3 linked regions of the Saccharomyces cerevisiae S288C genome follow. Changing the gene in region 2 together with the main gene of any one other region gives a genetic interaction. Each region holds a gene or a part of one and is shown on either strand. Other genes may lie near its edges. The genes, in order: KIN82, EMC10 and RGD1.

Evidence for each region.
Region 1: mutations in EMC10 (region 2) and KIN82 together harm fitness more than expected from each alone (negative genetic interaction), as found in Saccharomyces cerevisiae (3 studies listed by BioGRID).
Region 3: mutations in EMC10 (region 2) and RGD1 together harm fitness more than expected from each alone (negative genetic interaction), as found in Saccharomyces cerevisiae (2 studies listed by BioGRID).

The regions. Positions count from the first base shown.
Region 1 is NC_001135.5:272,351-276,111, reverse strand, and holds the start of KIN82 (putative serine/threonine protein kinase KIN82), read right to left. Parts: upstream 1,709-3,761; coding exon 1-1,708. Other genes in the region: YCR090C (uncharacterized protein), read left to right, coding at 3,249-3,761. UniProt on the Saccharomyces cerevisiae protein: Flippase activator that phosphorylates DFN1 and DFN2 and which is involved in the generation of phospholipid asymmetry in membranes by the inward translocation of phospholipids.
Region 2 is NC_001136.10:564,362-567,475, reverse strand, and holds EMC10 (Emc10p), read left to right. Parts: upstream 1-1,835; coding exon 1,836-2,453; downstream 2,454-3,114. Other genes in the region: YOS9 (Yos9p), read right to left, coding at 1-1,549; PST1 (Pst1p), read right to left, coding at 2,615-3,114. UniProt on the Saccharomyces cerevisiae protein: Part of the endoplasmic reticulum membrane protein complex (EMC) that enables the energy-independent insertion into endoplasmic reticulum membranes of newly synthesized membrane proteins.
Region 3 is NC_001134.8:732,879-736,639, forward strand, and holds the start of RGD1 (GTPase-activating protein RGD1), read right to left. Parts: upstream 1,762-3,761; coding exon 1-1,761. Other genes in the region: TAE1 (N-terminal protein methyltransferase), read right to left, coding at 1,954-2,652; MIC12 (Mic12p), read right to left, coding at 2,842-3,162; glycine hydroxymethyltransferase SHM1, read left to right, coding at 3,386-3,761.

The sequences.
Region 1 (3,761 bases), on a different chromosome or scaffold from region 2:
TCTTCGAAACTTCCTTATCATGTGGAAATTTGACGTCCTTGGTTAAAATGTTAGAGAATGTTTCATTTGAATTATCTCCTTTAAATGGAGTACAGCCAAATAGCATCTCGTAAATCAATATTCCTAAAGTCCACCAGTCTACTGCTGCAGTGTGGCCATTCCCTCTGATTACTTCTGGAGCTAAATACTCTTCAGTACCAACAAAGGAATTAGTTCTGAATCCATCTGAACAAATTTTTGTATCTAAATACGTAGAGTCTTTCATGGTGGGTTTTTTTGATCCCGTTGCTTGGATGGATAAATCAAAGTCAGAAAGCATGACATGACCAGATTGATGCAGTAATATGTTTTCGGGTTTCAAATCTCTGTATATGAAGCCCAGTAGGTGTAAATATTCCAAAGCTGCTACTACTTCACTGGCGTAAAACTTCGCATCTTCTTCTGCAATGCATTTACTTTTTCTTGTTTGTAAGGCTCTAAAGAATTCCCCTCCCATGCAGTATTCCATACAGAGATACAAATAGTCTTTGGTTTGAAAGGAATGATACAGTGTCACAATAAATGGATGATCACTTGTCGCGAGAATTTCCTGTTCAGTGAGTACTCGTTTAATTTTCTTCCTCTTGATCATCTCATGTTTATTCAAAACTTTCAGGGCGAATATCTGGTTGGTATCGCGTTCCCTCACTAAATACACTTTACCTACGTCACCTTGGCCAAGTAGTCTAATTTTTTCGAAGGATTGAGGTTCGACAGTAATGTCTTGGAACTTGTTACCGAATGACTTGGTTCTTAAACGACGAGATCTCCTCGGTTCTACAATATCTCCCAAGCTTGGAGGTTGTTTCAAGGCAATGTAATCTTCCCGCATTAACCCATCCTTTGCCGTATTGAACGGTTCGGAAGCGGCCCTCCTTAAACGTGGTGTTATGTTCATAGGTATTTGATCCTTTCTGGTTTCGCTATTTTTCCTTGGGGAATCAATTGGTGAATTGGATAATGACAAGTTAGCCAGGGGGGAGGCACTGCCATTTTCGCTGATTTTTCTATGGAAATTTTGGAGCTCTTCATTTTCGTTAATATCATTCAAAGATCCATTACTCAGGTTTCTACTGTCCTTTGCTATATAACTTGGGGAGCTAGGAGTGTGGAAGGATGACGGGTCTGTGGGCATGTCAAAGGTAAATAACTCCGCGTCCGGAGAAGAGCTACCTGAGATCTCATTAGGTGTGGAGCATATCGCCTCATTGGGTATAAGTGTGCTACTTGTAGTACTATGGACATTTGGCTCACCGATAATGGAACTTTGTAACAGCTCTGTATGTATCGTCGACCGGGGTTCACGCTTATGCGTACCTTTTTCTGAAGTTGACGCATCTGTAGTACCACTGCTCTTTGATCTGTTATGATTAAACATTGATTTGAACTTGTTAAGTTTGGAGCTTGACCAGCTATCGTTGCATTCTACATGCAGGGGAAACGGTATGGGAAGATCTTGCTTGTTTCCATTACAAGCCATATTAATTTGTGAGCTTGGGCTTGCGGACAACGAACAAGAATTGACGTTCAAACAATTGACATTGATGTTTTTGCCAGGAGGTGCATTGTTTTGCAGAGATCTCAAATTACGAGCAAATATTTTGGGTAGCGACATGCTCCTCCCCTTGGATAAGCGTTGTGAGGGGGAACGGTATTCTTGCTGAGTCATGTGTACCAACACTGTTGAACCTTGTTTGCAGTAATCCTTAGGGCACTCAATGAATTCTTGTACGTTTCAAACATACTATAATTAAAGAAGAAGAACTTTCTCTAAAAAAACTGGGGTTATTATGTCTTATGTTACTCCTTGAACAATATAGCTGAAAGAGGGAAAAAGGAAAGTATATTTCCGAAAAAGGATGCCGAAGACGGCGCTATCATAATTATGTGTTTGAGAGGCAGTTCACGGTTACATTCTAGTTCTTCTAGCGTCTGTTGTAGTATGAAAAGTACTTTATTGAATGTCCTTGACATGTTTTCCCAGGATCCAACTTAATGCTCCTCGCACTCATGCATGGGTCGGCCACACTGGAGATAATGATATTTATCTTGATATTCTTTGAAGAGTTGAAGAGCCAGCAGGAGTTTTGGAAGGATGTGACATTCTTAGTGGTTTTGATTTTTTTTTTTCAGTTCTGGCTTGTTCTTTTGTTTCATTGATGACGAAGGATTCGTTGAAGTTGAATGCACACAAAAAAAGCTTGATAACTAGTAATATTTTCTTGGCAGTCACATATATGGAAGGTGAATTTAGAGTAGTTTCCTTATAGCCTAGCGGGCTATTACCTTGTAAATACCACACTATCAATCCTTAAATGTATTGCTAATTGGCTATTAACCTAGATGTTTAGCTATTTATTATCTGTTGTTCGCTTAGCTAGGTACTGCTTTTTATGTTGTATTTTATCGAGAAGTTTAGTGTCGCCAGTTATAAAAAAAAAATTTAAACGTAAAGAAAGGTTATCGACAAATTAACGCAATATTACATGCCCTTTTCACCGTATCATGGTATACACTGGTGCATTAGTAGTAGCATACCTTTGAAAATAAAATGAATAACACTGTGAAGACGTAATGGTGTGTTTAGGCTTCACCATGACCAATTGTAGTATAATTTGCAATTTTATCACTAGGATTGTCACTAGCACATTAAATATATATATTTATATTGGTCCTTATTTTTATGAATTTTTTTTAATCTTAGAATTACGGAGCGTTTATGGCTTCATTGACCAAATAAAATGATTGGGCTGAAAGTTTTGAAATATTTCCATGATTCACTGCGGATGCATCCTATTTACAACAGACAGAAGGAACTGACGTGTTTTTCGTGAATGAATTAGATATATATGTGAAATTATGTTTTTTGTTGTTTGAATTTTTGATTTCGAATTGGATTATTATTCTTTGTTTATCTCATCACTAATTACTTACTGCAAATGTACTTTGCCATAAAAAACTAAAAGATTGATCCTTTTATGCTCAAGCTTTGCTACTATAAGATAATTTAGATGATCTTGGCAGTAAATTTTTTTTTTTTTTTTTTTCAAATTTAGTTCTTCGTTGCCTACATTTTCTTAATTTTGTTTCCATTGCTTGTATCAAAAACTTATGAAATTACAAGCGTCAAGAAGCTGTTTATAAGAAGTAATGAAAAATTTTGAATAAAGACAACTTAACCAATAAAGAAAACCAGGTTGTGTACGATAATGCCGTTATTTTTGGTTCTGAAAGCAACATTATCAGAAAACGTGACCAAGGTTTCAATTGAGAATACAAACGAATCAAGGGCAGAATTTGCCTTCGATCTACAATGTACCAGTTGTAGAGAATTACACGATTCTAAAGTCATCATCAATACATTTGAAGAATATGCTATGCCGGCATCAAAAGGTACCGCATCTTTCTTGATGAAGTGTAAATTTTGTTCAAAAGAATTGTCAGTTAACCTGTGCGCTTTTGAGGATGAATATTTAACTGATCAGAGTGACGACAAATGGGCCAAGATAAAAGATGTGCGGAAGAAGCATGGTTTATCGAAGGTCAAAGAAGATTCTTTCATTCCTTTAAGCCTTGATTGCAGAGGTTGTGAATTAATCAAATTTTATCCCGACACCATAACGTTTGAAGTTTCTCTAAGTTCGGGGAAAGTAATGTCATGCCAACTAGAGGATAATGAATGGTATGATTATGATGACAACCTTGGGGAAGAAGTAACAATG
Region 2 (3,114 bases):
CAGCTTCCCCGATGTCTCTGGTTGTATGACTAGTGCTTTCATCATCATCCATCCTTGCGTTGTTTATCTGCTCAACTTTGTTATCATCATTTAATGAGGATTTCAACTTGTTCATCAACGCCAGTTCAAAATCATTATTCGGTTGATTTCTCATGTTTTCAAATATTACTTCCATTTCATGTGGACTTACGATTTCGTTTAATAATTCTTTCACTTCTGCTATCTCCTTAGAAATCCTCAAGAATAGCTCATTATCAGTGTTAATTAAGTATTCATCTGACCGAATTTCTGCGGTATTTATATCTGCTTTGTTTGAGTGGGTTATTTGACCAAGTTCAGTTGACTCGCCATGATCCCCAATTTTGTATGATAGGAAGTTTCCATTATCTTCATTAAATGTAAACGTCTTGTTGAAAAATATCTCTGCTCTCTGTGAATTAAGTATGTTCAACGATAAAGTGGTTTGAAACCGATCTTTCATATCAACCACTTCCGCCAACCAAACACATGAGTCACCAGGCTGGAGAATATGTCCATTAGGTAACGATACTAATCTCAAACTAAGCATTTTGTTTATGGCATTTCCAAATTTCTGGTAATATGTTTCCGTAATCTCATCCCAATTTGACATGGCATTGTCAGTAACCATTAATTTGTCTCTTTCGTCGGTGTTAAAGGGCCTTAGAAAGTATATTCCAGAACCTAAAAAAATCGGTTCATATTTGGTGATTAAATCAATAGAGTTACTACCAATTTTTGATTTTGCGGGCATCCTGCAAAGTATAGGTGAGGCGTTCTTTTGGTCTTCATTTTTGGCTAGTAATTCTAAATTGCACAATTCAGGTATGGTAACTTGGGCTTCATAAACACAAATTTTTGTTTCTCTCACCCATTGAATAGTCGATGGTCCAGAGTTTGAGCCGCCACAGACATATTGTATTTCAACCATTCTTTCAGCCCCCGTCACATCGCAAATATCACCTGACCCTATAATTTCGCTGATGTAATATCCTACATCGTCATAAAGTAGTTCAAATTCTCTCTCTTCTACATTTGCTTTTGGTTTTCCCAGGCGGTAGACCAAAGATTCATCTCGATTTACTATTTCACCAGTTTTTGTATTTACTCTACCATGGAACTGAACAAATTCTATGCCAGGACAGTACTCGTAAATCCAAAATCCGGCTTGGTAGAAGATGCACCGTTCATTTAATTTATCGAAAATTGTCTTAACACCTTGATTCAGGGTTTTAGTTAATAATGCTGTCTTTTCACTATTGCTATGCTCATTTGAGTCTTCCAATACATCATTCAATTGAGTGCTTGCATTTTGAATAAAGCATTCAAGGTCGTCGCCCATATTCACTATATATCCCGAGTTCATGACAGACTGATTTTGTAATATCCTATCACTCCAGTCGTCCTCATCGATGTAAGATATGAGGTACTTATTCGATACTATGGGGTCTTCTATAGGTGCTAATAGTGATGATCCTAACGGAATCAACGCAGAAATTGCGCTCAGAGCATATATAATTTTAGCTTGCATTGAAACAGGGAAGAAAGGGGATGATAACGATATATGTGAAGATCTATTGCTTATTTTAGGGAATCTGCTTCTTTTTTATGAAGCTACATTTTTACTTGAAATTTCCGCTGTATTTTTTTGCATACGTGCGCTGGGTCTCTAACCACTGTATTTGCATTGGTAACTTAAAAACCCAACCAAATATAGGAATAATTAGAAGTATATAAAAGACACTTTGAGTAAAAAAACAAGGTGGTACTATTCAACACTATCTAACAAGAACTGTACAATACTCATTGAAGGAAAGATGCTTGTGCGGCTGTTGCGTGTGATTTTATTGGCCAGCATGGTTTTCTGTGCTGATATTTTACAATTAAGCTATTCAGATGATGCGAAAGACGCTATACCCCTAGGAACATTTGAGATTGATAGTACATCCGATGGGAATGTTACAGTAACAACCGTTAATATACAGGATGTTGAAGTTTCTGGAGAATACTGTTTGAATGCCCAGATTGAAGGTAAGCTGGATATGCCATGTTTTAGCTACATGAAGCTGAGGACACCACTAAAATACGATTTAATTGTGGATGTAGATGAAGATAATGAGGTCAAACAAGTGTCGTTATCATATGACGAGACTAACGATGCTATTACTGCTACAGTCAGATATCCAGAAGCGGGACCTACTGCACCAGTCACCAAATTAAAGAAGAAAACCAAAACTTATGCTGATAAAAAAGCTAGTAAGAATAAGGATGGAAGCACTGCACAATTCGAAGAAGATGAAGAGGTTAAGGAGGTGTCTTGGTTTCAAAAGAACTGGAAAATGTTACTTTTAGGCCTATTGATTTACAATTTTGTTGCGGGCTCAGCAAAGAAGCAACAACAAGGAGGTGCCGGAGCTGATCAAAAGACTGAGTAAATAAAGTATTGTGATTTTTTAAATTTTTAAGTGTCGTTACTTTTATCTCTTTCCCGAAAATATTTGAATACATAAAATTTTTAAATAAATGTTTTTATTTGTTCACATGTCGTGAATGACAGGTACTAGTTATCAAAAATGAAGAATATTTCTTCATTCCATTACATTATAGACATGATGATTGCCGTCAAAAGACCGACCAAAGGGGTTGTTTGGCCAATTGGTGCCATGATAGCGGCATTGCCTTTGGAACTCTTAGAGCTAGAGCTGGAAGCGCCAGAACTAGAAACACTAGAGGCAGAAGCAGCAGCCTTGATATCGCCAGAAGTGAACTTCTTTTCCTCGGCCTTAGAAGATGACTTGGAAACCTTGGCAGTAGTTTGGCTTGATTGAGATTTGGAAGTGGACGATAGTTTAACAGATGTGGATGATGCACCATTTTTGCAGACAAAAGATTCACCCTTGATACCCCCTTTCTTTTGCAAAGCTTTCAAAGCATTACAGGAGAAATTGCTTGACTTTGATTCGACATCTGCGCCACCCTTGACAGACTTCAAAGAGTCTAGGTTCAAGGAGGTGAAGTTACCAACAACTTCCAAAGTACCGCCAATGGTTGTTAGGTTGTCGAGACCACCAATTTTTTGTAAACCAGTGTTGTTAG
Region 3 (3,761 bases), on a different chromosome or scaffold from region 2:
CATAAAATTTTTTCTTGTTGTTGGGTCTTCAATTTGTAAACAAACCTTGATCTCCGATGATAGGGCCTTTGGTAAAACACTATCAGGCAGCGACGCAAAAAAAGTTTTCAGCAGTGATCCTACTAAATAAATATCCGAATCAGAATGTGGCTTTGATGGTAGAATCATGGAAATGTTTGCGGGATCCTTATCAATTTCCTCCTTCAACTTGCTGACATCAAGTACATTTGCCGATTTTCTATAAATTCCTTCTTGATCAAGCCCAAATTTATCAATAACGTATATGCATTGGCGCACTATCGCAGGGACCATGTCTTGTTCGAATTCTATCAGTGATTCTAGCGGTACACCAAATGTTTTGAAATTTTTTTGAACACCGGGTGGCATATTGTTGTTAGTCTGAATGTGAGAAATCGGGCGATCCGAGTCTAAAGAGTTAATCAATTCTTCTGGAATTTGTGGACTATTGTTGCCAGGATCCAGGGTCTTTGTTATGGATGATGTGGTGTCGCTTGTTACAATGGAAGAAGACGGTGACATAGCGCCAGCCGCATTGCTAGTGGAAGAAATAGATGAAGCCATAGTAGGTGGTAACTGCTTGTTGGTATTTAAGGACGGTGTAGCACTGTTAAGATTAGCATTCGGAACAGCGGCAGTGTTACTACTACTGCTCAAAAATGGAGATTCATTATGAGTGGATATCATTCTCTTCGGGATGGAGTTTCTTGAAGGGTCCACGGCAAACTTTGGGGGGCTCTTATTTTTCTGACCATGATTCATTGATGGATGCTTTTTGTATGATACAGGGATCAAGTTTTTGTTGATCAGTAGGGAATGTTTTCCTGTTTGGTTATACTTGTTCAAAAAACTGTAAAGATCACGTTCATTGGAAACAGATCCAGCAAATGATTTCATAGATTTGGTGGAGTCCAATGGGCTTATTGTAACACCTGTATTCAGAACCAAATTTTCCGTCCATATCGTGTACTTCTGCAATTGGATAGTCATCGCTGTGTCTATTTCTAAAATCAAATCTTTTAATTCTTGAACAATTCTAGGTCTCTCCTTCGTTATGAATGTGTTTCTCAAAGAATTAGAATGATCTACTTTTTGCTTATATTCCAGATCGGCGTTATCGATTTTTCTTAACAATTCTTCTTCTTGTTCCTTCGTAGTTTTGGAACCTCTCAAGGTCAGCTTTGTTTTTGTTGGGTCAGTCATCCTCAATTTGTCCCAATCTTGGCACAACGAATTGTAACGAGATTGCGCCTTTTCTGCGCTGTGTATGGCATCAGAAACATCCTTTTCCAGCCTTTTGCTGTTCTCCTTGACAGACTTTCTTAATTTTGTCATTGTTAATAAAAGACTACTAATCTCGGAGTACATTTTCTGCAAGGCGGTGATATAACTCTGCTTTACTTGAGCCATCTTGCCATCGAATCCCAAAACTTCGTGAATCATCTTTTTTAAGGATGAATTTGTGGAACCCTGAATGTTGAAAAAGTGCTTATATTGCTTGGAGAGCTCCTGAACGTGCTCTTCTTCGAAGGCGTATTTCTTTCTAATAAATTTCATAAACTCTTCACAAGTCAACAACGACTGCTTTAAACGGCTCAACAAAGCGTTAATTGCCACATCGGAATTTAGCACCTTCTTGATCTCTGGCGTGCTAAAAAGGTGCGCCAAATCGTCGGTGCCACCATCGTGCGACGACTTCGCACTTACTGTGGCACTAGCTGGTTTCTTCGCAGTCTCTTCCATCTTGTCTATATCACTTCTCTTTTAATCTTCCGAGATTGTATGTTTTTACTTTACATACTATTTTGTTCACATTCTTTATTTTCTGGGTTCTTTTTCCATATATATCGAAAAAAAAGTCTATATAATGGCACAAATGGTGAATGCCAGCACAAGAAAAGGGGCGTATCTATATAAATCTATGCATCCTTGATCCTAGTTTGGCATGGGCTTGAGTGCGTACATCCTCACTGGGTACAATTCTCTTGGTAAGCCACGTTGTCTTTCACTGGCGATGAGCTTTAGGCCAGCTTCTTCGAAGATTTGCCTGAACTTAGCATCTGACCTTGTGACCGAAGAATCCGTTTCGTCGAAATCATCGGTATCTGTAGGTGTGTTATTTTCTTTGACCACGATTGTCCCATTAGGTTGCAAACCAACAATACATCTTTTCAGGAATGCGACGAGTTCTGCATCTGGCAGGTGTCCCACGCACCATTGGCACCAGATCAGCCAGTACTTGCCGGCATCGGGGGTCCAGTCCTGCATCCCTACTTCATATATTTGTCCAATTTGGCCTTTGTCTTTCAGCTCAGCCAATTCAACGTGCATTTGCTCGATAAAAGGCTTTACCGGTTCTACAAGGTCTATCTTAGCGGCGTGCTTGTGAAGCATGGTCTTGCTTACACGTCCAATCCCCGCACCAATGTCTACAGCGTACTTCACGTTGTTCTCCTGAGGCAGCATCCTCGACTTCAGTTTACGCAGGAAGTTATTGGATCCCAGGACATCCATTGTGGGTACTACTGTACCTTCTCCGTATCCACCTAGAACACCATCCACAGTGGCGTCCACATCCGTCCAATAGTCGATGGCATCTTCGTATTTGATATGGGAATCTGCAGGCACGTCCATCGTTGTTGTTTATGTATTCTTTCTTGGAGATGCTCTTGACACCGATGCACATTACCAGAGTGAAAAGTACTGATTAATAATTAAATTTTTCTTTTGATATTTTTTCTGAATATAAAGTTCTACACAGAGTCGTTACAATAGGTTATATACATGAGGATGTTCGTTACAGTAGGAGAAATAGAAAGCTCGCTAATTCTTACCCCAGGAGTAGATCCAATCGACAGAGTTTCTTATCTGTTCATTCCAAATATCTTTTATGCTCTCCCCCATGGTCCTGCTCCATGCAGTGCCATCATCCGTCACAACTAGCTTGCGGTTCCTGGTCTCCCCAGGTACCACTTCTTTTCTATCCACCAGGTCCTGTACCTGATGATCTTGTTTCAACCATGTAGCATCGTGATCGTAGAAGTAGCCATTGTTACTGTATCGGTACAGGTAAAAAACAGAACCGATTACTCCCACAGAGAGAGTCCACTTCACAGATCTTGCTAACGGACCCAATTTCGACATGATTCTCTCCGTTATCTGCTGGTTCTTAGTCCACTGTCTGTTCTGTCCCCCTTCTGTCCAAGAGATAGAATATAAAAAAGACTCATTATTTTTTTTTAGGTACTTCGCTTATTGGTGGTCAATGAGAAAAAAAATACTAAAAGCCATCGCCTCTTGGAGAAGAGCAAACTATCAAAAATCATCAAGCCGACATTTCCACATCGAGTCTCATAGTCTTTCAATCATGTTTCCCAGAGCTTCTGCATTGGCCAAATGTATGGCAACTGTTCATCGTCGTGGGCTACTCACCAGTGGTGCACAATCGCTAGTCTCCAAACCAGTCTCGGAGGGAGATCCAGAGATGTTTGACATCTTGCAACAAGAACGTCACAGACAAAAACACTCTATCACCCTTATCCCATCAGAAAACTTCACCTCGAAGGCCGTTATGGATTTGCTAGGTTCTGAGCTCCAAAACAAGTATTCTGAAGGTTATCCAGGTGAAAGATACTACGGAGGTAACGAAATCATCGATAAGTCCGAATCCTTGTGTCAAGCAAGAGCTCTGGAACTGTACGGATTAGACCCTGCCAAGTGGGGAGTTAATGTTCAACCATTAA